4 linked regions of the Drosophila melanogaster genome follow. Changing the gene in region 1 together with any one later gene gives a genetic interaction. Each region holds a gene or a part of one and is shown in the gene's direction. Other genes may lie near its edges.

Evidence for each region.
Region 2: of Galphaq (region 1) and Camta, changing one suppresses a phenotype caused by changing the other (phenotypic suppression), as found in Drosophila melanogaster (one study listed by BioGRID).
Region 3: of Galphaq (region 1) and rdgA, changing one suppresses a phenotype caused by changing the other (phenotypic suppression), as found in Drosophila melanogaster (3 studies listed by BioGRID).
Region 4: of Galphaq (region 1) and Gbeta76C, changing one suppresses a phenotype caused by changing the other (phenotypic suppression), as found in Drosophila melanogaster (one study listed by BioGRID).

Annotation. Positions count from the first base shown.
Region 1 is NT_033778.4:12,610,951-12,620,859, forward strand, and holds Galphaq (G protein alpha subunit q), read left to right. Parts: upstream 1-1,789; 5' UTR 1,790-1,896; coding exon of another isoform or gene 1,897-1,901; exon of another isoform or gene 1,902-1,929; coding exon of another isoform or gene 1,930-1,934; intron 1,935-2,616; coding exon of another isoform or gene 2,617-2,707; exon of another isoform or gene 2,708-3,395; intron 3,396-4,836; exon of another isoform or gene 4,837-4,879; intron 4,880-4,956; 5' UTR 4,957-5,346; coding exon 5,347-5,464; intron 5,465-5,589; coding exon 5,590-5,774; intron 5,775-5,836; coding exon 5,837-5,991; intron 5,992-6,121; coding exon 6,122-6,250; intron 6,251-6,505; coding exon 6,506-6,634; intron 6,635-6,844; coding exon 6,845-6,974; intron 6,975-7,036; coding exon 7,037-7,190; intron 7,191-7,253; coding exon of another isoform or gene 7,254-7,361; intron 7,362-7,492; coding exon 7,493-7,600; intron 7,601-7,830; coding exon 7,831-7,913; 3' UTR 7,914-8,033; downstream 8,034-9,909. Other genes in the region: Amph (amphiphysin), read left to right, coding at 59-139; CG45086 (uncharacterized protein), read left to right, coding at 1,897-1,901, 2,617-2,707.
Region 2 is NT_033778.4:9,443,509-9,450,374, forward strand, and holds the start of Camta (Calmodulin-binding transcription activator), read left to right. Parts: upstream 1-2,537; 5' UTR 2,538-2,924; coding exon 2,925-3,003; intron 3,004-5,577; coding exon 5,578-6,176; intron 6,177-6,237; coding exon 6,238-6,766; intron 6,767-6,866. Other genes in the region: ced-6, read right to left, coding at 1,165-1,175.
Region 3 is NC_004354.4:8,922,628-8,929,310, forward strand, and holds the start of rdgA (retinal degeneration A), read left to right. Parts: upstream 1-2,556; 5' UTR 2,557-3,069; intron 3,070-6,683. Other genes in the region: CG12661 (uncharacterized protein), read right to left, coding at 596-991; CG43255 (uncharacterized protein), read left to right, coding at 1,340-1,747. UniProt on the Drosophila melanogaster protein: Required for the maintenance of phospholipid turnover within the photoreceptor.
Region 4 is NT_037436.4:19,684,483-19,691,125, forward strand, and holds Gbeta76C (G protein beta subunit 76C), read left to right. Parts: upstream 1-3,154; 5' UTR 3,155-3,245; coding exon 3,246-3,314; intron 3,315-3,735; coding exon 3,736-4,181; intron 4,182-4,235; coding exon 4,236-4,437; intron 4,438-4,576; coding exon 4,577-4,706; intron 4,707-4,789; coding exon 4,790-4,876; intron 4,877-5,069; coding exon 5,070-5,176; 3' UTR 5,177-5,510; downstream 5,511-6,643. Other genes in the region: CG8765 (uncharacterized protein), read right to left, coding at 350-1,196, 1,256-1,409, 1,476-2,164, 2,313-2,454, 2,513-2,753; verm (vermiform), read right to left, coding at 6,024-6,643. UniProt on the Drosophila melanogaster protein: Guanine nucleotide-binding proteins (G proteins) are involved as a modulator or transducer in various transmembrane signaling systems.

The DNA of each region.
Region 1 (9,909 bases):
TGCAGATCTCAGCACTTCCTGTCTATATTGAGTTCAGTTCTTTATTGCCAATTTACAGGAGGAAGGCTGGCTGATGGGTCAGAAGGAGGGCACCAACGAGAAGGGACTCTTCCCCGCCAACTTCACGCGTCCCATCTGAAGCGACAAACTGGGGAACAACTGGGCTAGCAACGAACCATCAGCAACTTCAGATCAACCATAAAAATCTTTACGAACGGAGGTCCAAATCCAAATACAAACTTTTGGCCAAATTTTCTTTGTGAGCGCTGCTTTTGCTTTTGTCCAATTAATAAATTCTTGTTTTGTGAAATGTATTCGGTAACTGGCAATCCATTTATAGCGATTGTTCGTTAGGGCAGTGCTTCCAACCATAAAATTGTTATTGTTAACACAAAGAAGAACGAACACACAGATGAGGAATGAGAGAGAGAATATTTTGAAAATGTTTCAAACATTATTTTTTAGTTCTAAGTTTCAAGAAAACCTAAAGCATAAACCTACGTATACATATATTATTTGTTAATCCTATTATTGTGCTCATAATTAATGCGAACAAAACGTATCTAATTTGTAATTTGTTAATGGCAAACCACAAATGTAAAACATATCACTCGAGAGCTAGAGTAATTGTTAAACAAATCAAAAGTCGGAGGAGATAGCCAGCCTGAACCTTTTGTATTTTGTGAATTTTGCAAATATGTAGTACGAGTTTTTTATAGTCAATTGAATGTATTTTTGGGGCGATGCAAAAAGGCCAGATGTAATTCCTCTGTGGTCCCCGAAGTTTTGGAAATTGTTTCAAGTAACAACATTAACGTTTAGCGATTACGTGTATCTTTAATTTGTACTTTGGTTTTTAATTTTTCGTTTGAGAGACTCGAACTAGCTACAGCTTTATAACGCGAACACAATCCAATAGTCACTAACCGATCGATTCGATGTTTTTATTTTATTTAACTCGATTGTAAATCACACGAAACCCGAAATAATTGTTTAAATTGTGCACACACTGTAAAGTTATTATTTTAATTTTATTTAATTAATTTAAACACTTATTTATCGCATGAACATATTGAACAAATGATAATAATTTACAGAAAGCCAATAAAACATAGATTAAATAATACAAGTCTTTTGATTTGGCGGGCAATGTCTTCTGATTTCGAAGATAGAAAGTGCTTGTAAATTTGACGATTGACCGGCGTTTTACGATATTCGCATTTTTTATGTTCTAAATGGTAATTATACACACATATATTTAGTTATTTAAAATTTACGATCATAGTCATTGGTTCGGGTCACAGCTTAACGAATATGGAAGTGCATGGTAAGTGTATTCCCTGTTGTTAGAGAGTGAAAAGGACACAACATTTTCAGTCTTTCCTAAAGCTATCAGGCATTGCCATCCTGAATTATGAGAATATGGCGCACTGCCATCCTTATTTTTAAGGATGTCTGGCGTTGCCATCCTTATTTGAAGGATGTAAGGCGTTGCCAACCTTATTGCTAAGAATGTGTATTGACACACATGAATAGAAATCCGTATGGCAACACCGACATGTGTTGTGGTGGGGGTGGCAACTAAAAAATACCAAAAGTAATATATTTTCAAATTAAGCTGAACTGCCAGGAAATCCGTTTTTATTTGTTATAAACCACTTCTATTAGTTATTATGCGGCAAATAAAACTCCTTCCTTATGTAATACAATGAAGACTTTGATTTAAGAGCATCTATTCCATCATCGATATCTTGCCACCACTAGTTCAAATGCCGTCCGATTGGTTTGACCATCGATATCGACGAACGATAGGGCCGATAGGTTCGGACAAATAACGCCTCCTGCTATCGAAAGTCGGGTCGTGCGTCAACGTTAGCGAAAAATGCAAAATTAAATATGTTGTGAGTAGCGAGCGATGCCAAATCGAATATGTTGTGAGTTTCGAGCAAGATCCCCGTCAAACGGACTCCCCGCCAGCCAGCGGTCGCCATCCGCAGCCGCCTGGCAGCCACCCGAAAAAGTCCCCCCCTCGACAAAAAAAAAATTTAGCAGCACCGAAAACGTTCCCCGAAATGCCAGTGTAAAGTGTATTTTTTCGCCAAACAGTGCTGGCCATTAAGCAAGGCCCCCCCATAATTGTTAAACAAACGGCGAATCGAATCGCGAAATCTTCGAATCGCATTGCTATCAAAATTTTTTCGTTTCGTTAACGCCCTCGCTTATATTTGTGTGTATTCGTTCGTAAAGCAGTGCGCAGCAAGTCGCACTGCTTGCCCGAGAAAAACACTGCGAATAGGAAAAAAGTTGAGAAATTTAAAAAAGAAATAGTTTGTTTAACTCAATGTGGTTTTCTTTTGCCACTAAACGGTGCATGCCAGCGAGAAGTTAGTTGGGGTCGCGTAACTACATAGTGGATTGTGCATATTTTTGGGCTTAAAACGGGTGGGCTAACCAAAAAATGAAAAAAAAAATGGTAGCTGAGGGTCGTGTGTGTTTACCTTAGCCAGTATGATGATGATTTTCCGGAATGCATATTCCCACCTTACCACCCATAATACCACCCCCCCCCCCCATCGTTCTTCTCCTTATCTCTCTGTCTCTCTTCTTTACTTGCAGTTCCACTGCATACAGAAAAATAAACAAATACAAGAAGCATAAAATATGCAGAAAATTAAATACAAAAGGAGCCACTAAGTGTTTCGTGTGAAATCAATTTGAAGACCGCTCGTCGTCGTCGTTGTCGTCGTACATACTTTTCCGTTTCAATTACACTACAATGAATATTTGTTGAAACTTCGTTGCATTTACAGACTGGTGTTTAAAAACAACAACAACAAGAAGAAACGTTAAAAACCAAGAACAACAACAACAACAGCACTCATACACACCGAAAACTAGAAGCAAAAAGGGAAAATTATATATAGATATATATCTACATATATAAATAGTATCGTATCACACATTTACATTAAAAGGAAGCCGAACAGACGTTATCGTAACTTTTATATTAAAAAGCACCAGTAAAAAATATATAACCAACTACACACGTTCCTTAAAAACAAATGTTTTCCAAACCGCAAACCAACTAAAAACGAAATGCTTTTGAAATTAGTTTAAGCTAACTAAAAAACGTAAGACCAACCAACGCACCGCAAAGCAAATCGCGTGATTAAACTAAAAATATTTAAAACAGACCGAACATCGGCAGGGAACCAAAAACAAAAATTAAAAGAACACGATCAATCCGGAAGAACTTCAATCGGCGTACTAAAACCCGAAATTCAATATTTTTTGTATAACATAGTGGTAGCTAAAACAAATCGAGACGATAACCGGAACATCTTTTTGGAGAATCTCGTCTGAATACCTTTAGTCCCGTGTCTCCGTAATGTTAAGTAAGTAATACTGAATGCTCATTGAATACAAGAATCGTAATTTCGTGGTTAATTTTTGACTCCGACCACTTGTTGGTTGCCACTAAAAACTGGCCGAAATATATTATAATCCAAAAATCGAATTATTCTCCAGGCGAGTTTAATGGATTGTCATCCATCTTATTCAAATCCATTCGAATATATTTATTTTGTGTAAAAGCCATGCTTTCATCATAATGAAAGGGTACTTTTGTATCTAAAATATGAGCTCATAAATTCTCCAGCAAAAATAGGCTGAGGATGCGATAAGGAACTGCATGAGTAACGTGAAGCTATTTCCGGCTTAGAAATGGTTTTTCGGAAATGGGTTGCATTAGAACAGTGATTTTCAGAAGAGCAGTAGTCGTCTAAAGATTAAGAAGTCAAATCAAACGTTATCTCAGAGTGGTTTATCATCAGCATATACAATATGTAAGGCAGATAAGACCAGTTCGCGGTAGGTAAATCTCCCTCTGATTTGGTGGCATGATATATCTGGCAAACTATTGTTAAAAAACGCTTCATTGCGCCAATTGCGTGCCCCTGCCCCTGAATTTTGCTGCCACTGCTAATTCGATTTTGTGGCTTTGCTCAGCGAGCAATGTGTTCCGAGTGCAGCCCACTAATCCTCCCGAATACTATGCGTCTAGCCATCATTATCCAGATCTCCATATTCGCCCACCTGAGCCCGCCAAATTCTCCTGGTCAGACTTTTGTCAAAATTATTGCTAGGTATTCCATCGATATTTGGTAGTGGTCATGCTGAAAGCCTTACCTCGACCCATGTCAATGTGTTCGCCAAACGAAATTGGATTAGCCATCACTCGATATATAAACTAGGGGTTGGAAAAGAGAGGAAATAGCACCAGTGGTTATAGGCTATATTCTATAGGCATGCCCTATGCTGAACCCATGAATGAACCGCGGATTCGGGTGGACTCATATCTTTTAACGATAAAAGTACATTAAGAGTTTTAAAGTTTATGCAATGATATTCCAGTTTTGTGTATAGAGCTGTGTTTTTGCATCATAAGTTTCGGTATGTGACTTTTTTATTTCCGAATTAGAATGATATGCCAATTCTTCTTATCCATAGACTGCTTGGTCCACCCAATAGGAGAACACTCTCGCTAACTTGTGGCCAGCGAAGCCATATATTTTCCAAAATCAGCTTTCTTGCATTGAACTTGGCTGAGGGGCATTGTGGGGAACGCTTCCTCAATCTATTGCCACCTGGTAGAGGGCGATCCCAGGTCTGCGCAGAGAGAGCAGGCCCAGAACTTAGAACCAAAGCCAATGCCATGGTCAGAGGAAGTCCCGGGGTAGTCATGGGTAGCCATGGGCAATCTATATCCGACGTCGTCATCGACGTCGCCAGCTAGTGGGGCAGGCTAGCAAATATGAAATGTTAATTGTCAGCACGGGACACAACGCGGCGAACTCTCGTTGGGCCAACAACTGTGGTGGTCCGTAGCAGCAATAGTTGGATAGATCCTACAGTTCGGTTATGCAAGCACTAAATCAAAGCTTTGTCTCCTTGCAGATGTTCTTGGATCGTTCGATGTGGTCTTTGTTCATTAGTAACCATCACTCTCAGCCTCCGAGTCACCGAAATCTGGTCAAGAACTTAGCGTAGACCCGTAATTAGCAATAGCAATAGCCAAAGAGAGCCTGGATCGTAAGCGCTGGAGGAGGTCTGCAGAGCGAGCAAAGCCGAAGTACAAATGCACCAATCGAAACTACAACAGAATCTATAACTTGGAACGGGTGAATTCAACGCCCGCCATACAACCAATTAGCTAGGTGTCCGAGGGTCCAGAGAAGGGAGTCCAGGAGACCATCCCACCATCCAAACAGCATACATTTTATATACGGAACGGTCTGTCGAGCGTAGTGGCAGCAGCACGCGAAAGCGTCTATAAATCTAGTTAGCATGGAGTGCTGTTTATCGGAGGAGGCCAAGGAACAAAAGCGCATCAATCAGGAAATCGAGAAGCAGTTGCGCCGGGACAAGAGAGATGCGCGCCGCGAGCTTAAACTGCTACTACTGGGTAAGTGGAGCATGGCCCATTTCGATTGCACTTAGCCTGGCTTAATGCAATTGAAGCCGCCTCGCTAATTGCATTGTTTGCCCGCCGCTTATGGCTATATATATTTTCCAATCCTATATCCCCAGGCACTGGCGAGTCCGGGAAGTCCACATTCATCAAACAGATGCGTATTATCCACGGCAGCGGTTACTCGGACGAGGACAAGCGTGGGTACATCAAGCTGGTTTTTCAGAACATATTCATGGCCATGCAGTCAATGATCAAGGCCATGGATATGCTGAAGATTTCCTACGGCCAGGGAGAGCATAGTGTAAGTGAAACATTGATCTAATTGAAGTCACTGAATCTTAAACAACATCTTACGATCCACAGGAACTGGCCGATCTGGTGATGAGCATCGATTATGAGACCGTTACCACGTTCGAGGATCCATACTTGAATGCCATCAAAACGCTTTGGGACGATGCTGGCATCCAGGAGTGCTATGATCGTCGTAGGGAATATCAGCTGACTGATTCAGCCAAATAGTAAGTTAACCGTTGGCATGCAAAGGGAACGGTTTAAATCCGTCCGCAAAATGACCGAAAAACGAACTGAAGAGACTGAAACTACCGAAACGACTATGCAAACTAAATCAATTATCTTGTCTATGTATAGTTATCTGAAGGATCTCGATCGTGTGGCTCAACCTGCATATTTACCCACTGAGCAAGACATTTTAAGAGTTCGTGTGCCCACAACAGGGATAATTGAGTATCCCTTTGATTTAGAAGAAATCAGATTTAGGTACATACCATCTTTCTACCCTTACTTCGTTGCATGTGCATGACCTCTTGTTTGGTTATGGTTAAAATTTATTTTGTACTTTGTAACTACACACTTAAGAATTTCTTTAGCGCATGTCTCTTCAAGCAAACAATTCAGGGACTTAGTTAGGGCCTTCAGCGAAATTGATGGACTGAGACGGGTTGCAAAACTATTTTTGCCACTGCTTTTGGTTCCGTTCATTGTTTTAAAAGTGTATTAATTTATCTAATTTAGCTACTTGAGCGATCTAGCTCGAATTGAACAGGCTGATTACTTGCCAACCGAGCAGGATATTCTGCGTGCTCGAGTGCCGACAACTGGCATTCTTGAGTATCCATTCGATTTGGATGGCATTGTGTTTAGGTATCTATTAAAAATATCAATTGGTAATTACCGGCAAGGCTAGTAATGTAAATGGTCATTGTAAAGCTAGTGAAGACGATTTCTTACAATTTAGTTACTAATAGATTCGTTGCTTGCGCTCTAGAATTAAATGCTTGTATGTTTGGCCTTATATGTAGTTAATTTGTTGGTTAACTTTTCTTACAATAATATATTTTTCTTAATAAACAGAATGGTAGACGTCGGTGGTCAGCGATCCGAGAGAAGAAAGTGGATTCATTGCTTTGAGAATGTGACATCAATTATATTTTTGGTAGCGCTATCGGAGTACGATCAAATCTTGTTTGAATCTGATAATGAGGTATGATTTCAAGTTATGAATATATTTTTTTTAAACAAATAATCACCTGTACGCTTTCACAGAATCGAATGGAGGAATCTAAAGCTTTATTTCGTACTATAATTACATACCCTTGGTTTCAAAATTCGTCAGTTATTCTTTTCCTGAATAAGAAGGACTTGTTGGAAGAGAAAATAATGTATTCGCATTTGGTAGACTATTTTCCTGAATACGATGGTAAGTGTTCCGCATGATAAAGGTGGCCATAATTATGTACGATTTTATGCGGCAATGAACCAGGTCCAAAACAGGATCACGCTGCGGCCAAACAGTTCGTTCTGAAAAAGTACTTGGCCTGCAATCCAGATCCCGAACGTCAATGCTATTCGCATTTCACAACGGCCACAGGTGGATTTTCACCTTATGTACTTAAGATCTATGTAATTGCCTTAAATCGCCAATATCATCCGTAGATTATTTGCTAGTTTTCGTAGAACCACGCTAGACGTAACTTCATATTCGCCTTCTTATCGAAACAGGTCCTCAGCGAGATGCAATAACGGCCCGAGAGTTTATACTGCGAATGTTTGTAGATTTAAATCCAGATTCCGAAAAAATTATCTATTCTCATTTCACGTGTGCTACAGGTAAGTTTGCTGCCAGTTCTGTGTTTGGTCAGAAATTGTGTGTGGATGTGATTTTAGTTTTCAGCCTAAAAAGGACTGGTCAAAAGGTAAACTTTTGTGTGAAAAACATTTACATTTGCATATTTGCTTTTGCCGCTGATCTAGAGTAGAGAGTAGTTGTGTATCGCTAGTCAAATTTGCAAACCTAAACGAATTGATTTCTAATAAAACAACGATCTCTTGGTAAACAGATACCGAAAACATCAAACTTGTGTTCTGCGCTGTCAAAGATACAATTATGCAAAATGCACTTAAGGAATTCAATTTGGGCTAAGGCGGGCAGTGCGGATATCAGGAAAAGTGGCAATGCAAATGAATTATTTATTTATAATGTATATGATTTGTTTTTCAAAGTCCCTCAATAAAAACTAAATATAGTCTGTGAAATATCGTGAATGGAAAATGTGTGCAGTTTACTATCATAGGATTATTTGACAAAATCAAACTAACTACGCCTTCTTTTCTTTTGTCTAGATACGGAAAATATAAGGTTTGTGTTTGCAGCTGTTAAGGACACAATTCTGCAATCGAACCTTAAGGAATATAATTTGGTCTAAACTGGATTTGGATCGAAAAACTATTTTTGTGATTTTTATACAAACACACATACACATTCATATAATTCCTTTTTCGCATATTTACTAAATATAAAAGAAGAATTGAGAAGCGAGCGAATGTGGCCGAAAATTAGGCATAAATTAGACCCGAGAAAGTTTCTTACGTTTGTTACATCAGGAACCGAAAATTGTAGCATAAATAGAATACTAAACTGAGATGCTAAAACCGCATCAGCAGAATGATGAAAAAGATGTATACATTTTAATTTGAGAGAAAAATAACACAAAATCTGATACAGTGTGACAACAAATAATCAGGGCAGAGTTTCTCTTACGAATGTGACGATTCGTAAAACATTTATTTATATTGCAGTACTTCTATTCTTTCTAGCGGCAAAGTTTTCAGAAAACGTTGTGTGAATTTTTTTTTTTTGTTTCGACTAGGAAAACTCTTGAAAGTCAAAAAGACAGTGGCCAGAAATGATTGGTACCCAATCGATAGAGTTTTTGGTTAGATTTGAATAAATCTGATGGTAGTTTTTCCTTCCTACACAAGAAACATGATTTCCTTGAAAAGTTTTTATACAAAATATCGTCCGAATTAGTTGTTGTCACTCTGTAATATTTAAATAAATTTATTACTATAGTAACTTTTGTAATAAAATCCGAAACACAAAATATGAAACGTAAATTTAATCAAAAGCTTGATAAGGAACAACAAACTGAAACAACTTTGTCGTACTGAAGCATAACATAATAAAGCAACATTTTACTAAATAACTACAGAAAAACAAAAACATACTTTTGCGTAAAAATCCCCCGAAATATATATATATTCAAAGAATTATATATGCAAGAAGTTTCTTATTAGAATTTCAGGGCATATAGGCGTGTAAAAATAATAAACCGAAAATGATAAGCTGATAAAATGATAAAATGAATGAAAACGAAATCACAGATAATACTGTATTTTTTATTAAGCTAAACAGTAAACCGTAAATATTGATACTATTGTTTACCGAAATATTTAACTATACATGAAAGCAGATATAATAATTCATAAACGCATATGTAACAATTTAAAAATTGATTAATTTGCATTGCGCGAGCTCCATTCATTGTAAATTACGATTCGTATTAATACCATGAGAATGAAAAGAAAAGAAATGAAACGCATGCAAACCAATACAAAAACGATATAGGAGCTAGATTTGTATGAGAAAAGCCAGAAACATTTACATGGAGCATTCATTAAATACGTGTTTGTAAAAAATGTCGATAACCACCCATGCAACATGCAACATGCAACAGCAGAATCCATACAACTTATTGATATTTAATCAGACATCAGGTTAAATCCAATCAAATGCGATATACCACTGGTCGAGAAACACAACTATCAGAAGGGAAAGTTTTGCTCTCACGTACTTTTGTTGCCATCAAAATTTCAGTCGAAACATTGTTATCAAAAATAGCTTGATTTTCGTACTTTTTACATTAACTTTGTTAGTTGTTTGCTTATTTTATAGATCTTAATGTATGCAACAAGGGACTCGCTTTGGCGGCTAGCCAAAACGGCGATGTCTGGCCAAGTGGGTTCAGTGTTTTGTTTTTGTTTTTATAATTTTAGTTTAATTTAATATACAAGGATAACTAAATGAGACGCACATAAATAGAAAACCCCATCAACAAATTATTTATGTAAAAATCCAA
Region 2 (6,866 bases), 3.2 Mb from region 1:
ATGTATTCATAAGCTTGCAACAAACTAATGAAGTCATATGTGGATTTTTAAAAGGTTTGTTTAACGACATTGTGTTTCTTGGAAGAAATGTCTACGAGACTTGGCTTTATACATAAGTACATAGATATTTTTCGTACTACGGAGAACCTAGAAGGGCTCAGCGAAACTGGCACCAACAACATGGTTCAATGTGCACTTATTGAGGGGGCGTTCGATCTGCCCCCCATTTGCAAGTAATAATGGCTTTTAAAAACTCGCTATTGCATTTTGATCGGGGTCTCTTTTGAATTGTTATCGTCGCCAAGGGGCGTTGACTGCGTATGCTCGTTGGGCGCGCTGAGGGGAGTCCTGAGGGGGCGTGACTTCGAATGCTTGTTTCGTCGCACATGACGTTATCTTGGCGTCGTTTTCATCATCAAAGCAATAGAGTTCAAAGGCCCAATTAGCCAAATAAAATGCATGAAACCAGAAAATACGTTTCTCACTCATTGTTTTATAAGGCGAAATGTCATTAAATGGTATTGTAAATATTTGTGCGCTGCAATAAAATGGCAGCCGAAGCCAGTTATTCTTGTTGCTTTGCAGCTCGTAGGAACGTGCTGGTATTTTTCAAGCGCAATCGCTCGCTCAGTTTTTCGGGCTTTTCAGCTTTTTCAGAGCCTGGGTGCGGAGCCGGTGTCATCAGCATAATTTACGTGCCGATGCCCGCCCCGCCGAGAGTCACGTTTCCACCTCACGCTCCTTATCACATGTCGACGAGCACGGGGAACACTGTAGGAAATCAAAAGTGGGGAGTACTGTCAAAGTGCCACAAAATGCATATACATATGTAAATAAGAAACTCAAAGCTGCAAATCAAACAAGCAACGCGATTCGGATTAATTCCAATGCCTAAATTATAGCCAGCAATGTAATGTAGCAATATTGAGAGAATATCATATTATCCTAACTATAGATATAAACATAAAATTCTAATTTCAGCTTTATTATGCTTCCCATAAGTAAACATTGACCTTCTTAATATACAATAACTGTCAAATTATCATTACAAGATAATTCAGAAGACAAATATTTTGTTTTCTGGGATCGCGGATTATCAAGTTGGCGGGTTCATTTAGCGCGTGTTGCCTGTGCTTCCAAATGAGCAGCGCTTATCTCGTTTACCTCTTGATCATCGCTTATCAGCGGGGCCCTGAACGCCCCCATAAAGGCACGACACACACACATACATACACAAGTGGCACGCACACGGACATGCACACATTTCGAGTAATTCAATTATTTTGTGTATTATTTTCAATGTGCAACAAAAGCGACAATAAAATAACAAGCCAGCGGCAATATACAGCCAGCAGCCGACTTATCACCGCGCCGTCGCTGTTGTTGCAATGCTTGTTGCTGCTGATGTTGTCGTCGATTTCAAACTGCTGGCACTGACTGGCACTGGCACACAGCTATGGCAATTATTCTGTGTTCGCTTCAGTCGCCCCGCCCGTTGATTTTGATAGAGCCAGAGCCCCGAGACTTCCGCTGGTCGCGGGAAGCGGAGGGAAGCGAGGCGGGGTCGGAAAACCGCGGGGTCGGCTGCTGGAAAAATCCAAGGAAAGTTCGGCGAAAGTCGTTGCCTATCAATGATGGGCGGTCTCAAGGGCTGTACATACATACAAACATACATATATTTTGATAGCTTACAATATACAAATGTACATATGCGAATTACACAAAATGTCATTTACATTTTACGCCCATTTTACTTCCCATTTGCATGCTCCTCTTAAAGGATTTTGACATATAACTTTATGATTGAACTAAGCTAAGAACTAGAATGGTATGTAATATTTTCCTTGGGTTCTAACAAAAGTCGCAGGAATAGAACTTCCTGCTCACGTCCAAGCAAACCAATCTCAGCGTTTTTAAGACAAATATGCATTATAAATTCATCAATCCTTCATTATTTATTTATTTAAGATAATATAACCGAGGCCATCGACTATGTACCTATATACTAATATACATCATTTGATTGAACTAAGATTAAAATTTTCGTAGACTGAAAGGGTATACTAGATTCGTTGAAATGTACATATACATATGTAAGTTAAAGAAGGGTGGAACCGTCAGCTGGACGTCGGCGGTAAACAGCGGACACGGCGGGATACATCGGAGTTTAAAATTCAACAGAAAGAAAATAATTATAAAACGTATAAAAAATGACTAACAAAACCCGGATTTGAAATTCAATACGATATTTTAAATATAGTGCCCGATTTCCGATAATTGAATGTTGGAGTTGTCATCTTGACCGATAAGCCGATAAGTGGAACACTTGGGGTGCTGCCAGATGGTTAGATATAGTTTAAACTAATTTATATCAAACATAGACTTGTAAGGTTAAGATTACAAGGTTATTGGCTTGTAAAGTATTCTTGCTTTCTTGTATAATAAGTTATCAATTTTAAAAAATTCGAAATCATTGTCGTTAAGTTTTGTGGGAGCTCGCCCTTTGCAACATCTGGCAACTTTGCCGTCATATGTTTGACAGTTTGACATGCACACAGTTTTGGAGTAGCTCAAAATATTTTCGCTATCGTTTTTTTTTAATAATTTCGTGTGTGAAACGGTGATATTATTGATTTTTGTTGCATTTTATGCATCGTCCAGCTGAAGCACATCGAAATCCGCCAAGGGACTCCACGGCTTGCGCACAGGGAGGCAGTGAAAAAGTTTTGTTTACCTTTTTTCGATATCCCAGAGTTCTGCGATTTCGGTGTCGCTGTGTGCGTGTGCGAGCGCCCATGTCACCTGTGTGTGTGTGCGTGCGAGCTGGTGTGCAAAAATGAAAATGCATTCTCAATAAAGCGAAATAAATGTGCCAACCGCTAAGAGAGTAGTGCATTCTAAAATTGGTTGTTAAAGCTGTGCACATGGAAAATGTGCCCGATATTTCCACCAGCGCTTCGTCCTCTTCTACTTCTAATTCAACTTCCACACTGAAACTCCAAAGTAAGTTAGCCCCAACTCCCCCTACCCCTATCACCCATCCCTCTTCTACATGCATATATGTAAGTTATATCTGTGCTGTAGCCCACGTATCTCCCGATTTTCGACCTGATAGTCGTGCTCTCCTCGATATTGGTTTTCCAATTAGTTTTTGTTTTGTTGTGTTTCGCTTTGCGTTGCGTTTTGTTTTCACGTTGTTGGGGGTTTCTTTGGGCCATTAACCCATTGGTGGCCGCTGTGCCATATTACGCCTTTCCTGTCAATACTGAAATCTCTTTAGTATTACGCCCATCTACGGTATTGCAAAGCTGGTTTAAAGATGGGAGAGTCTAATTGGAAATTCCTATGGACGCAATCAGCTGTTATCTGGATTCTTTAAACATAAATATGGCAACTCTGCTCGTAAAAACCGATTGGCGGGCTTCGAATTTTAGAAGTGTTAATAACACACTCTTAGTTGGTCATAAATTCATGAGTATAGATAAGATAAATGGAAACATTTCTTTTCCAAACACAAAACTAGTGACCTAAATGTTTATAAACAATGATTGTTTAAAAGATTGGAAAGTGGTCACAAAAAAATCCAAGACGTTCACCACTTTATTTAAATAATAAATATTTATGTCTAGACCCAGAGTAATAATCAGTTGCAGACTGATAAAGCCTATCAAAGTTCTTGTTCTTGTGGTTTGTTCATCTTTGATTTGTCCTCTTTCTTAACCCTTTGTCGGCTATCTATGTGCAGAATCTATTGACATATTTATCGAACTCTTTCCCCAGCTGGCAAATCTAACGCTTTTTGATTTATGCTTCTAATAAAAATTCAATAGACTTGCAATTTGTCCAGCTACCCAGAAACTTTTGTTTCCCCCCCAGTTTCCCAGCTAAGCAAGTGGAGTAAAGCACGTGGAGTACAACAGTGGGATTATATAGCACGATTTTTTTTTTTCAAAATCCTGTAATCAAACAAAATTTAAAGAAAAGAATTAAAAACAAAAAATATTTCAATTAAATTGATATTTCCTATTATAGGAATATTTGGTTTTAACAGCATTTATACATGAGAAAAACCCTTAAAAATAAATACGAATTAAAAGCAAATTAATTTTAAAATAATTACAACAAAATCATTTTCCATTCAAAATTCCGTTTTTATCTTCTGGTTTTCATTATTATATATATGTTGTATATTTTTTTTTTTACTTAAACTAACAATTGTCGTGCCCACTGTCCACATCGTTGCACATCAAAAGCCGCGACGAACGCAAAAATATGCGAAGCTTCAGCCAAGAGTGTTTTATGTGTTACGCGGCTGCCTGATCCCCGAGTGCCCCGAATCCTGGGATCTGCGTGCTGTTGTGGCTGGTCTGCCATACATTACAATGAAGTATGTGCGCTCGAATGGATGGCCAGCCAACAGCCAGTGGCCCCACCTATTCTATTCCGATCCTGGTCCAATTCAGGCGGTTTATTTTGCCTGGCGGCAGGCGACCTTTTTGCACAGACACTCCAAGGAAGGCGAAGGGGGCGCAGACACTTGTCCACTTGGGGTCAGATGGTCGCATGTGGCGCTTTCCCCTGCCCGCTTTTCTGCTTTTCCGCTTTTCCCCAAAGCACAGCCGACTGAAGGCGGCGTCAACGGCTAATTATGACCCGCACGTTTTTGCGAAAACAAACACACATGGTTTTTGGGGGTGTGGAAATACCCAGGAAAGGGTGCTGGATGCCGGCGGCGGGGGGAGGCGGGAAAAGCAGGGGAGCCGGACAAGTGTTTAGGCTACATTTCGAAATGTTTCCGGCGCGCACTTTACGTTCCGTGTCGCCTTCAGCCTTGAGAGTCTATATTTGGCAACGCATGCCAGGGCAGAGACCCCCATTTGCCTACACCCGTGAACCTACCCCATTACTTTCTCCTCCTTTCTTGGCTGAAAACTCGCTGTTTGTTTGTTGCACTTTTATTGCGTTTTGTGCTGGGGCTCGTCGGCTAAGTAGTCCTTCGTCCCTGCCATAAACATGTCGTCTTTCGCTTGATTTAGCGTTTGGCTACCGCCCATCCTCCCCATTTGTTGGCCAACAAAATAGAGTGTCCGAGCCACTGACCGCTCTAGGCATACGTCGCGTATACGTAATGCTCGACGTCCCTTTCAGTTCATTTTTACGGACCCTGGGAAAGTGCAACAATGGCAGCCACGCCTCCTGCCTCCCCTGTCACATGCGCTTCTAATGCAAGGCTTTCCAAATTCGATCAAGATGGAGTCATAAATCTTGCGCCGCTTATGAAGTTTCCATTGAATTTGCATACAATGGGGCTGTCCGTTTTTTGGGGCCACTCGAAATTGCTCAATTCGAGAAATCGAGAACAAAATGTTACAGGAGCACTTACACCAAAAATGAAACCAACACGCTGTTTAGATAACTTACAAATAAATAAATAAGATCTACTCTTTTTATACATCCAGACGTTCTAGGATGTACATTTTTAATTTTGTTGTTTTACCTGGATAAATACCTTTTATATATTGTATGTACATTGAATTGATTATTTAAGACTGATTTACTTTTGTTATTCCTTTCTAGGCCAAATCACCTCCAAAAATGTCTTGATCCGATCGCAGAGCAGTGGCAAGCTAAGCAGCAATGAAGCGAAATCAGCAAAGCCAGCAGCAACAACCAGTACAACGACGACTCTGCGAGCGGCCAAGCTCAAGATCGGGGCCATGCAACAGCAGAAGCAGCAACACCAGCAGCAGCATCAGGCCACGAGTGGCGGCAACATCATCCTGCTGCGCGGCACACGCAACGAAAATGGCCAGATCATCATCCAGAACAAGCAGGACATTCTTAGCCTGCTCAGCGAACAACAACAGCAGCAGCAGCAGGAGAAAAGTCACTCCTCCACGGCCATTACGCTCAACCAGCTGCCCACGGCCACAACGGTGGCTAGAAAGACCATTGTGCAGGGCTCGAGTGGAGCCGGCAGCAGCAGCAGCAGCAGCAGCTCCACCATTTCCATTGTGGCCAACAGCAACAACAAGGAGGCCAGTAGCAACACGATCCTTCTGCAAACCCCCATCAATGCCAGTCAGTTGGAGAGCGTTCTAAAGGCCCAAGAGCGTTCCAAGCAGGCCAACGCCACGCAAACCAAGATGGTGGAGAGACCCTTTATGCTAAAACATGTAAGAGATGTGCAGTGACATTTGTGTTGTATTTTACCAACTTGTTCCATCACTTTTACAGGCCACACGCAGCTTGAGTTCCGAGAGCAACTGCGACAGCAAGTCACCCTTTGTGCTGCAAACGCTGAAGCGTCTGGAGAAGTCTCAATCCATACTGGTCATACGCAACTCCACGGCGTCGACCGCTGCAACCAACACTTCCATGGCCACTTCGCCACCAAATGGCAACAGTCTTGCCACCTCAAGTATTCTAAGCGTGACGCGCACCACGAAGGCGGCCAAAGGCGTGGCAGGAGCGCTGCACAAGCTCAAGGCGGCAGCAGCCACAACAGCCACTAGCGGGGGAGCCTCATCAGCCGGAGCAACATCATCTACGGCCACCACCATACTAAGGCTGGGAAAAAGCGCCACCACGGTGGCCATTAATGGAGCAAGCAAGCTGGAGGCAACGACGAGCACAACCACAGCGGTGCCAGTTCCGGCCACAGCGACAACATCAAATAAATTGTCCAACGCGGTGACAAGCGAGCAGCAGCAGCAGCAACAGCAACAATCGACAACAACGCAAACGAATGTGCCACTTGGGAACGGTAAGTCTCGAGGATTTGGTATCACCGAATTTCAAATGCGGCGCATAAATTGCTGGCGGGGTTTTCGGCAGGTGTTGCAGCTGCAGCTGCATTTGCATCG
Region 3 (6,683 bases), on another chromosome or scaffold:
GTAACCAAGACACATTGTAAAATAAAATAATTTAAGCAGATCAAATTAAGTTGCCGCATGGGTAACAGTGCGTTGATCAAATAATAAAAACATCATCGTAATGGAAAAAAAAAAAAAAAAAAAAAAAAATCAATTGGTAGCATTTACATGCGGCGCGTTTTTCTCTATGTTGCTGAATAAATCACAGACCATACGAAACATGTTCGTATGAATAATTTGTGGACTGTATTGCTTTTGGGCCATTATCCTTCGATGGAATGAGGTCTCGTAATTGCTTTATAAAAAGCATGTTTTTGGGTCACCAAAAATTGCAGCATAATCGATTAAATTAGTAAATAAATCAATAAACATTTCCTCGGCCGATTGGCGACTGGTGTTAGATTACTAATTGCCGTTTGGCATTAATTAAGTCGCTATTTAGCAATTAAGAGGTGTTTGATGGCATTTAAGGAAATCGGTGGTTCACAGTCCATGATATTTTTTAAATGAATTTTTGAATAATAAATATAATATAAAATAATATAAATTAAGACATTTTTGTTTAAATCCAACGAATATAATTTTAATTAAATCAAACCATAAGTGTTCTGTTTTGCTAAACACCTTTCTCCAGGGTATCTCGCATAGCCCTAAACATTTCGGGCAACAATCCCACATGGCTATCCACGCAGTTGCTGGTGCAACGTTCCAAGCTATAATCGGATCCATTGAGGCGGCACTGCTGGATGCACTTCTCTAGGCGATTCTCAAAATCGGATATACCCTGCTGTACGAAGCAGCGTGATCGGGTCAAACGGATTTGGCAGCGATCGATGCACCGCTCCACCGCCTCCGCATTCGCGTCCGCATCCGCACAACAGGCGGTCGCACATCTGTGCATCTCGATCTGCAATTTGCGCAGATAATCCCGATCCAGATCCTCCATGGCGGTTAGGATTGCATTGTCAACGCGTTCTCGCTTCTCCTCCAAACTCGAATTGTCACAATCCATCTCGAGTAGTATAAAATTTATGGAAAATATAAAAGTCGGTTGGTAATTTTCGTTTGACTGCCCTTATTTGAGTTACGCAAAACGCAATGCTACTTTGGTTTTGTAATAATTTCTTCAATTTAAATAATATATGAGCAGGAAATGGGCGACTCGCAGTGTTAAGTAAGTTAGGTCATGTTCTTGACTCTTCTTGGGCAAATTTTTAAACTAAAGTCACGGCATTGACATAACTCAGTGTGAAGCTATCTCTAATTGAGTTTGAGTTAATTTGTTTTTTGCTGATAAGTGCACTACTGAAAGTGTATATAAGTAGAAGTTGGACAACGTGGCCGTGCATAGTTTTTAAAAATGCATTACTTGCATATCTTTGGGCTCTTGGTCTTTTTGGCCGCTTTTGGATTAAGCCTTGAACGTCGTGATAAGGAATTCTACGGGATATCTAAGGAGCAGCTAACGACTACTAAACATAAAGAGAATTCTGTGGAATTTGTACAACACAAGATATCCTTGAAGCTGCCGCAGAGATACAACCGATTCAAACGTCAGTCCTTTACGCCATTTGAAAGGCGTGTGATACGTTTACTACGTAAATTGGGCTTATTAAAAAGCGATGCTGAACAACTGTTGGATACTCTCGAAAAGGACAAGGATCTATTACGAAGATTGAAGAAGTTACTCGACGAGGTCGACACCGAACATGAGACCAATGATTTCCTTGAAGATTTCTTCGATTTAATATTTTTCAAAAAAATATAAGCAGCTTTCTTCCTGTTGTTAGGAATGATATTGATCGATAACAATATTGCCGATTATACCGATAATTAATGCCATAAAATCGTTTATTTAAATTGTTTTAGATATTGCAAACAATCTGATTGCTAATAGCTAACAATATCATTACGATAATCGTTTGGATTATTCTAATCCCTTACTTCCTCCATCGCCCTCACACGCCATCACTCTCTCTCTCTCTCTCTCTCTCTCGATAATTATCGATAGTTTGGGCACTTGTGTTGGACCAACTTAAAACACCGCACAAATGATTGCCATAAATTTGATGGCAACAAACAGCGACAACAAAAACAAAGAGTAGCGCTGCCGCCCGCACTTTCTCCGCAGTTCTCGCCATTTCTCCGCTCTACTTTCTCCGCTCCTCTCTCCACTCAATAATGTGCCAACTGTTGAGTTTCCTTCCGCTTCCGAATGCGAGCGCGAAAGAGAGAGAGCGAGAGCGAGAGAGGGTGTGAGACAGAGACGGGGCGAGCGGGAGTATGTGGGCGTTGGGCGGCAAAGGGTGAGGGAGTGAGAACGATACGGCCACTCGCTCGCTTGCTCGCTCTCGCTCTCTCTCTCTCCCTCCCTCCCTCTCTCCCTCTCGCTCTCTCGCCGGCATCGAAGGCTGCTTACAGGTGTTTATAGTACTTCGGCTTTTGCCGACCACAGCCGAAGTTGCCGGCCGATTGCTGGCCTCTCGCTCGCTCCCGCGCTTATGCTCAATAGCGCCCTCTCGCTCCCGGTCGCTTTATATTCCTGGCAATGCGTCGCCTTCGCATCAGTTTCATTTGAACGGTCGACGAGGCGCGTTGTTCTAGAAATAAATAACTCATTTAAATAGCAGAACAGCCCAAGCAGGCCAAACATTTCAAAGCAAAATACCAAAACTCTCTGGAACTACCAAGTTCTTAAAAAAAAACACCAACATCGCCCAAAACACAACAAAAACATCGCATACCATAAGAAAAACATAAACATACTGAAAAACTTACAATATCTAAATATAAAGTAACTATTTTTTTGATTGTGCTTCTAAGTGTTGTGCTAAACCAATATTAACTTGTACAAATATTCGAAAATATTCAAAGATATTCCAAAGTATTTATTCAATACTTGAAATATAAGCTACGATACAAACTTAAAACTTAAAACTATGTAAGACTAAGATCTAGTTTTTGTGCTTTTTGAATCCTAACTGTTAACGTGTAAAAGCACGCAAAAATGTGCACGAAATTTTGACTTGATTCGAACGACTGAAAAGTGCGTTCCATTGTAAAGAAAAACTAAAGCGGCAAACCGAAACGGTAAATATGAATATACTTATTGAAATTCATTGAAAAATTTCCTTGGAAAATTTGTTGATTAATTTCGTGATGTGAGAGTTTATTTGCCGTGTGTGATTGTGAGCAGCGTGTTTGTATTGTGATTTTTCGGAAATGTTTTTATATTTAGTCTTCAAATGGGGATTCCCAGATTTATTTAAAGTTTCAGCTACAATTTTTGGCAAATATTCGTAGTTTTAGGAAAAGCTCCACAGAATATTGTATTGTATGCTTCAGTTAATAGAATCACGCATGGAAATTATCAAGAATTCGGTTCTCAGCTTGTTGTGTTGAATTTGATGAGTTTTTTTGGAATATCATAAAATATAATCGGATTTTATAGTTTACAAAGAGTTTCAAAATTCCACAGATGTAAAATAGTTGACTCGAATTGCTTGAATATATTAATATATCTTAGTTTAAAGCAGTAATTTTTTAAAAATTATTTAAAGCTCGAGCTCTTTTTAGGCTCCACAAATATGTGTGCAACAATGTGTAATTTTGAATAAAATTCCGTGGAATGCCCTTTGCTTTTCATTCTGTATAAATTCAATTACCAACATTCTCATTGTCTCAGAGTATCCCCCTACTTTCGAATGTCTGTGTGTCAATAAGATGATTTAATGAAAAATCGTCTGCAATTTCGGTTCGAAATTCGGCAAAAACACGGCGAAACAAACTCGTTACGCATACGCCGTGTGGGCAATTGTATTAAACGATGCCATTCATTGAAAATTGCTGGCCAAAGCGAGCGGTTTAGGTTTTTTTTAGGCCACTCCGGTTAAGGATTTGGGTGTGCTCTTGTCGGCCAGCCAGTCTCGTTAGCCGAACTTGTTGCCACATTCGCATCCGCACTGGCATCCGCAACGACATCCGCACACGCATCCTTCGTGTACGTGTCCTTTTGCTAATCGGTGCGTTTAAGGAACTGCATGCTGGAGGATGTTGCAGCTCTTGTATTGGCGCGTGACCGGCTTTTCTCTGACATAAGAGCGCGAAATGGCGAAAATAACGTAATGGCGAAAGGCGGCACTCTGTGCGGTTGGCAATCTTTGATTTCGCATTTCCCCGGTAACAGGGGAAAATGTCAGACAACGTGGCGTATACGTGGCATTTGTGTTTGTGCTTCCGCTCGTTTGTTGTCCTCAAGTTTGCATTCAACGACGAAGGCACTTCGTCGCGGTAACCAAGTGTAAATATACAATTTAAATTTCTCTAAGGAAACTTTAAATTTATATATTTTTTTTTTAATCAATACGAAGAATTTACATTTTAAATCACCAAAGTATAAACATGAATGAAGCCTGCACATATTTGTAATAATAAATGTGTGCGCTTTGAAATGGTTTAAAGATTTTTGTTTTAGGCGACTTTGTTTGTTTCTGAAATAAAGAAATTGCTACCCATTTGTCTTGCGTACATATAAAAACGCGATGTTTCAATTGTTGATCCACAATTTTTTGTTTGCTCTTGTTTGCTTCGCTTCACATAAAATATTCAATTTTCATTTCTTGTCGCTTTTTTTTTATTCGTGACCCAGGGGTTGGGTTCGCATATAAAATCCAATAAAAATACACATAAAAATTGAAAACAAAATACAAAAAAAAGAAGAAAAAAAAAAAAACAGAAAAGAGAATGAAAATGGTCGAAAGATACCGCGGGCTATTTGACAGCAACGAGGGGGAAACACGTATGCATCGCATTTTGATTGCAGATTGTATATCCATTTGTAAGGGTGTTTCCTTTGCCAAAAGCACCGTGTTAATTAATAGAAATTGCCATTTGAACAATTTTTGGGAATTTCAATATCGAATGGAATTGCATTGCAAACCAAACCAATTACCAACCAGTGTGGTAATTTATTCACCATTTTTTACCCCCACAAAAATTTCCACAATCAATCATTGTTGTGTGTGGCAGTTTAGGTAGCTCAAAGAAGCTGGGGTCGGAAAAATCGAATTTTTGAAATTTGAAAGCTGGAATCGTTTGCCCATTTTTTGCCCATGTTTGCCCACCAATTAGTTTTTTTGCCCACGTCCAGTTTTTGAGATATGAATTTTCGAAAAAGTTCGAAAATTTTCGAAAATCAAAAATTTCGCTTTTTTCAAAATTTTTTTTTTTAAATCGCAATAACATCGTTTGCCCACGTTTGCCCACCCTTTAGAATTTTGAAAAAATTTATACTTTAGAAAATATAAGGCTTTTAAGTTTACCTCGGTCTAATCAGAGAGTAAATCGTTTGCCCATCTCTTAAAACCAAATATTATCAACAAAAAACGTTTGCCCAACCATTATTATTAGTTTTTATCGTTTGCCCACCCTTTAAAAAACCTTTAACAAAAATTTTTTTTCGATTGCCCACATTTAAAATACAACCAATTTCCTTAGCCCACCTCTTTAAAATAAAAATTTCCAATAAAAAACGTTTGCCCACCATTTAAAACTAAATAATTTCGATTGCCCACCTTTTAAAACTAAATAATTTCGTTTGCCCACCCTTTAAAATTTGTTTTTTTCGTTTGCCCACCTCTTAAAAATGGTTTTTTCGATTTTTCACCTATTAAAAATAAATTTGTACATATGTATGTAATAATTGTAAGATGTGGCGTCAAAAGCACAGTTACTTACAAAAGAACAGTTATTTACATATTTACATACATTTTCAATATATCCATAGTGTTAATCATTCATGAATTGTAACATCAATTTTTCTTAATCATTGTTTCATTTCATGGAAAATATTTTATATTGCAATATAATATATATGCAAAAAAATGTATGTATGTTTATCAACACCCTCCAAGCTCAAGAAAATTCTGGAATAAAATATTTTCCATGAAATGAAACAATGATTAAGAAAAATTGATGTTACAATTCATGAATGATTAACACTATGGATATATTGAAAATGTATGTAAATATGTAAATAACTGTTCTTTTGTAAGTAACTGTGCTTTTGACGCCACATCTTACAATTATTACATACATATGTACAAATTTATTTTTAATAGGTGAAAAATCGAAAAAACCATTTTTAAGAGGTGGGCAAACGAAAAAAACAAATTTTAAAGGGTGGGCAAACGTTAAAAATGAATTTTAAAGGATGGGCAAACGAAATAATTTATTTTTAAAGGGTGGGCAAACGTTAAAAATGAATTTTAAAGGATGGGCAAACGAAATTATTTAGTTTTAAAAGGTGGGCAATCGAAATTATTTAGTTTTAAGAGTGGGCAAACGAAAAAAACAAATTTTAAAGGGTGGGCAAACGAAATAATTTATTTTTAAAGGGTGGGCAAACGTTAAAAATGAATTTTAAAGGATGGGCAAACGAAATTATTTAGTTTTAAAAGGTGGGCAATCGAAATTATTTAGTTTTAAGAGTGGGCAAACGAAAAAAACAAATTTTAAAGGGTGGGCAAACGAAATAATTTATTTTTAAAGGGTGGGCAAACGTTAAAAATGAATTTTAAAGGATGGGCAAACGAAATTATTTAGTTTTAAAAGGTGGGCAATCGAAATTATTTAGTTTTAAGAGTGGGCAAACGAAAAAAACAAATTTTAAAGGGTGGGCAAACGAAATTATTTAGTTTTAAAAG
Region 4 (6,643 bases), on another chromosome or scaffold:
CGTCTATGCCTCCAGAATATGTATGCTGAATCTTAACCTTCTAGCTTTTATAGTTCCTGAGATCTCGACGTGCATACGGACAGACGGATATGGCCGGATATGGCCAGAAATATATAGACTTTATATGGTCGGAAACATTTCTGCTTGTTACAAACTTTTCAACGAATCTAGTATACCCTTTTACTCTACGAGTAACGGGTATAGAAATTTACAAAGATATCAACTCGTCTAGAAATTAGAAAAACACTTTGAAATAACACTTAATGTCTAGAATGAGTCGCCCTGAAACCGTTGATGGTCCACTCAAGCATCATACTCCTCTCCAGGTAGCCAAAGGTCACCAGCAGCGCTAGTGATTCCTCAGTGCCTCGTTGATGACACGCAGAATATCAATTTGCAGTTCGGTAAAAGCCACCGGCTCCAGCTGAGCATTGCGTATCTTCATGGACACAGCCTTGAAGAACGCACCTATCTCATCGTCCTCTCCGGAGTTGTGGCCATTGCTGGAGGGATACTCCATATGGGTGGGTTTGCTGGGCGTAATGGGCGCCGAGTGATAGCGAGACGTGGAAGTAGAGCTTGGCGTAGTGGCAGCATTCTGGTACCTAGGCGTGGTTGGAGTCTGTATCTCGATCTTCTGGAACTCCGCAGTTGATTGAAGCTGCTGATTTTCCAGGCTGGTGGCCCCGTCGCTGAGCTGCTCTTGCTTGGACATGGCACTGCCAACGCTTGGAACAGCCATGTAAACGGGTCCATCTTCGTGATCGTAAGTCATTACATGCTGATCCTGCTGCTGAGGAGGTTGTTCCGCCGCCGTTGTGGTTTCCATCTCCTCATCCTCATCGTCTTCCACATCATCATCATTATGGTGTACATCTCCGTTGATGTAATTCTCGATGTCCATGTCGTCATAGGTGGCCACACAGAGTTCACTTGCCTGCTGTTGCTGTTGTTGCTGCTGATGCTGTTGTTGCTGTTGGTGCTGCTCTTCCTGCTGTTGCTGTTGTTGTTGTTGCTCAGCCTTGTGTGGTCCCGTCAAATGAGGCAGGGTGGGCAAGTTAAGCTGGGAATTCGACGAAGACGACTCTAGGGTGATCTGCTGCGTGGGCGGTGAGTGAGACTGGGTCATATGGTCCTCGAGTTCCCTCACCGGGTCATTTTTGGGTAGCAGCATACTGAGTTGCGAATCGCTTTCCCTGAAGAGTAAAAAGTTATCAATATATGATTATGTTAAAATAAACAAAACCTCTCTTACAGCGTCTTTTGTTGTATGTACTTCTGAAGGAAACTGAGCGAATTATAGTGCTTCCAACGCGATGTGGCATCTATGTGCATCAGTGTCCTCAATCGCTTGTGTTCGCGTGCGTATTGGTCCCTTAAAGCCTTCCACTTCAGTCGACACTGTTTCACTAAAATAGTTAATGCTTGAAAAATCATCTTCATCCTTCGGCTGTTTAAGTTTATCAACCACATACCCGACTTCTTTAGTTTTCTGGCGATTTCCTCCCACACCTCCATCTTGAGCTTGGCATTGCGATAGTTCTCGTTGCCGTAGTTGTAGATCATGTCTTCCTGCTGGATCAGCGTGATCAGTTCCTTTTCGAAGTAGCTCTCCATGTTGAGAAATGTGTGTATGGGATCGTCGTCCTCCTCCTCGGCGTTCGTCGATTGATTGTGCGCTGCTGAAGTGGTGGATACATTAGACGTGATTGTTGCTGCCGAGCTCGACTGATTGGCGGCATTGACGCAGTCCACTATTTCGTTGTAGAGAGTGTCTACCACCGTGGTTGTGTTGGCGGTTCCACACTGCACTATGATTGATGGAGTAGCACCGCCTCCCGCATCCGTCAGATAGTTCCAGTTCGCTTCCGGCTGCGAGTGCATTTGTTGCTGATGCTGCTGTTGCTGCTGCTGCTGCTGCAGCACGGCTCCAATATGGCTTGCCAAGAAAGTGGCTGCCGGCTTCTTATCAGTTGAACTAGGCGAACTGAAGCTGCAGCTGTCGAGCAGCGTGGATGCACTGGCATCCTCAATTTTAATGCTGCCGGAAAGGTTTAGATTCTGGCTACTGCTGTTGCTGCTGAAGGAAGTAGTCATGGGCAGCGATAAGGGGGTCACCGTACCCACGGCGCCATTGGAAGTCTGACCAGATCTCCCTCTGTAACTAAAGAATTGTGGGTTTAATTAAATACGGACATATCATTTGGAAGCCTGAAGAACAGAACTAGTGATAGATAGCTCCATATGCTGTATAGTCTGCATTGGCAGTCAGCATGGCGGTGCCAACTTGAATTGCTCCACGTGCTACTTACTTTCTTGCCAGCGCATATGGACGCAGGAAATCCAGCTCTTTGAAATACTTCCACTTCACTGCTTTTGAGCAGGCCTTGGCGCGCTTCAGCTCCCGGCAGTACTGATCCCTCATGGCCTTCCACTTGGACTTGCACTGGACGTCTGTGGAAATGGGATTAAGTGCCAACTTTTTGGTGGGGAAACTTAAACGTTCACTTACCGGACCAACCCACATTGCTGCCAATCTCCAGCCATTTCTCGTCCTTGATCTTGGTGCTGCGGTAGTGGGGATGCTTGGGATTGTATAGCGACTGCTCCTGGGAGACCAGCGAAATGAGGATCAGCTCCTTGGGAATGCTGACCACATTCTCACCCAGACTAGGATCTATGCTGAGATTCACGTGCTGCTGCTGCGGCTGCTGGTGCTCCTGCAGCTGGTTGGCACATGGCAGCGTCTCCATGGCGCTCCCTACTTGGTGTCCATGCTGGCGGTGTGTTAATATGGGCAATTGTTATAAATAAAAACAGGGAAAACAAAAATGAGGTGACCGAACAGCTGATCCTGGAGAGTTGTGTAATTAGAGGGACCAGTTTCGCCTTGGCTATACAAGCATCTTTTTTACATTGAGTGGAACATCTGGTGGCCACCGACCTGGTCACCCTGAACAGTCCAGTGCTGCAAGAGGCGCACACCATTTCGATAAGTTGGCAGCCCGCTCATATGTTCGATTTTAAAATTTTGGCGCCAAAAAATCGTCTTTCTATACATTTGTATTTAACGGCTAATCCAATTAGCTAATTGCATTACCGCTAAGGAAAAAAGAAAACATCATAACATTCAGGCAAAACAAATTGTTTAACTCTCAGTTTATTGTGCGACGCAGTGCGGTTCAAAACTAGAAACTTTCTTCTGGCAAATATTGCAGCCGTCCTTATATAATTAATGCTCCATAATGCCGAAAATTGACCCAGAAACACAAAAACTCTACGACGAAATCAATGGCATGATACAGAAGTTTAAGGTGAATTAAATAAACTCAACGTACAGCGAAGTAAATTAAAAATATCAGATAATAAATATAGCAACAACAAAAGTAACATAAAAAAGTTTTCCCCATATAAAATAACAATACTCTAAAAATACCGATAGCCAGCTTAAAAAGAAATTCGTTGTCCTTAATTTAATTTTAACAAAAAAATATTAATATAACTTTTTGGAATATGTATGATAATATGATTGGGTTTTAAATATCTTGCCAGATTTCATACTTCAGTGCTAACTACTCCCATAATATTTCATCTCGATAATAGTCGAACACATTATTTCCAATTTTGAAAAAATTAAGTGACTTAACTTAATCGAAAACTGTATGCGTCTCTAACATTTATTCTGGAAATTCTTGTAATAAAAATTGTCATTCATTACTATGATTTTGCTTTCAGGATGACCAAAAAAGCAAGGCTGATTGCACGTTGGCCGATAAATGCGGCGACATGGGGGATGTGCCCAAGATTCGATTCTCATCCAAGAAGATTCTCAAGGGCCACATCAACAAGGTGAATTCGGTGCATTTTGCCGGGGACTCGCGGCACTGCGTCACTGGATCGCTGGACGGCAAGCTGATCATCTGGGACACCTGGACCGCCAACAAGGTGCAGATCATCCCCTTGAGATCCGCCTGGGTAATGACGGTGGCCTTTTCGCCGTCGGGTAACTTTGTGGCCTGCGGAGGAATGGACAACCAGTGCACCGTCTACGATGTGAACAATCGCGATGCCTCCGGAGTGGCCAAGATGGTCAAAGAGCTGATGGGCTACGAGGGATTCCTCAGCTCCTGTCGCTTCCTCGACGATGGCCATCTGATCACCGGCTCGGGAGATATGAAAATGTAGGGCTTTGCTTAACTTTTTGGAGTAAAATCTAAGTTTCCTATGACCAACAGATGCCATTGGGATCTGGAGAAGGGTGTCAAGACAATGGATTTCAATGGACACGCTGGTGATATCGCTGGCTTATCGCTTTCGCCAGATATGAAGACCTATATCACTGGCTCTGTGGACAAAACTGCCAAGTTGTGGGATGTGCGAGAGGAGGGCCACAAGCAGATGTTCTTCGGTCACGACATGGACGTGTCATCCGTCTGCGTGAGTACACATATATGTTTTAATAATAATAGCTTATATTAATTACCAAGAACAACTATAAGCAGCTAATCTATTTAGTACTTGTAATTTAATACAAATGTATTCATTACACCCACCCAATTATCATTATCGGTTGCAGTACCATCCCAGTGGCTTCGGGTTCGCCTCCTGCTCGGAGGACCAAACGGCGCGCATGTACGACCTGCGGGCGGACCAGCAAATCGCCCAGTATGAACCGCCCCAGAAGAACACTGGCTTCACGTCGTGCGGTGGGTTCTCGTTCTCCGTCTTGGTGGAACACGGTCGCCTTGACTTTTGACGGGTTTTTAATCTGATTTTGTGTCCCCACCAGCTCTATCGACCAGCGGGCGCTACCTCATGTGCGGCGGCATTGAGGGCAACGTGCACTCGTGGGACACGATGAAGCAGCGGCACACGGGTGGGTATTGGGAATTGGGTAGTTCGTATTGGGTATTGGATATCCATTGCACTTGGGGGATTCGGTGATAAAGAACGGGGAAATGGAGGCGAAGCTAATGCTCAGGCTGGCACTTGACTTACATCGATTTGCTGACCTTCTTCTCCACTTTCTACTTTCTACTTACCATTTGTCACTTTCCATTCCTCCACAGGCACACTGTCTGGTCACGAGAACCGCATCACTTGCATCAGCCTGTGCCCCAATGGCATGTGCCTGGCGTCCACCAGTTGGGATCAGCAAGTGCGTCTGTGGCTCTAATCTGTGCCTCTGATCTGGGTTCAGTGTCGTCCAAAGGCGAAGACAACGTTTATGCGTGCAGTTTGCTTGCAAATTACGTATACGTAATATCCATAGCCTGCAAGTAATAAGGATAGTTCTCAGTGCAGACTAACAATATTAATACAATATTAAATCTATTGTTAAACTTGCGAACATAAGAATAGCTTGCCCCCTTTAAGTGCTAATTTGCAAGCAAAACGTGCGTATGAATATTATTATAATAATTGAATACTTGATTACCTAGAGAAAGTAGCCTCCAATAACAAGCAAGTGCCAATTGGATGTGCGAAATAAAATGTATGAATAGTACAACAAAGTAACACGTCTCCTCCATTAAAACTCCATTGCAACTTAATTTTTTTTATATATTTTTTATATTTTTCTTATAAAAAATACTTATACAATTACGAAGATATTTTTGCTGCTGCGATTTTTGGCGCTTGGTTTTGTTTGTTTGTGGAAATTGTCTTTGAGCTGGTCAAAGAGGCAGCTAGGTAAATTAAAACAAATCACTTTTGAAATCAACAGAGAGATAAAGATACAGGTTCAGATACAGAATAGTCGAAAGTATACAGATAGATAGAAGATAGATAGAAAGAGAGAGAGAGAGAGAGAGAGAGATAGAAATGAAAGTCGCATAAATAACAGATGGATAGAGATAGCTTAGGATCACACAGGAAGCAGGATGCAACGATTTGAGTATTCTGTAGATGGATCAGCATAGATCAGCTGGTACAGTTTGTTTAGTTTATCAGACTCTCGGTGGAACTACTGTGAGTTGTTCTCCTGTTTGGGTAGATGGAAGGATAGCGACGACGGGACGGCCTTAAACGGAGAAGCCATCGCCGGTGGGATCCAGGATCCAGGGGTAGTTGTTGGGGCACTCCATGCACGTGAAGAGACGCAGCGTCTCGCCGGGCAGCTCCCTGGTGGTCAGGGGACACGCGTTGGGCAGAGAGCAGTAGGGCTGGCCCTTGACGTCGCACTTCTCCTTCCACTCCTGGAAGTCGCGCAGCGAGTTCAGCTCGGTGGGGTTCTGCATCCACTGGATCACCTGCAGGTTGGTCACGAAGAACACGTCGTTGCGGCCGAGCATCTCCTCGATGAATTTGATCAGCTCGTCGCGGTACTCCTTCTTCGACTTCAGCCACGAAGCGTGGAAGTGGAGTCCAAGTGGAGCACGGTTGCTATTGTAGTGGCGGTTGAAGTTGTGGCGCAGCAGGCGTGCGAACTGGTCGCCGCTGGCTACGTTTGAGCAGGAGTCCACCATATGGCAACCGGGCAGGGACTCGTCGAAGGTGGGATCGTCGCGCCGGTCCAGCTCGTTCATGACCATCTCCCACACGGGGTGGCTCCTCGATGGGCAGTTGTGCGCGTTGCCGTTGCACTTGTGCGGCATGCGGAAGTACAGGGTGTATGGCCAAATGGGCACGCGGCCAAGGGAGG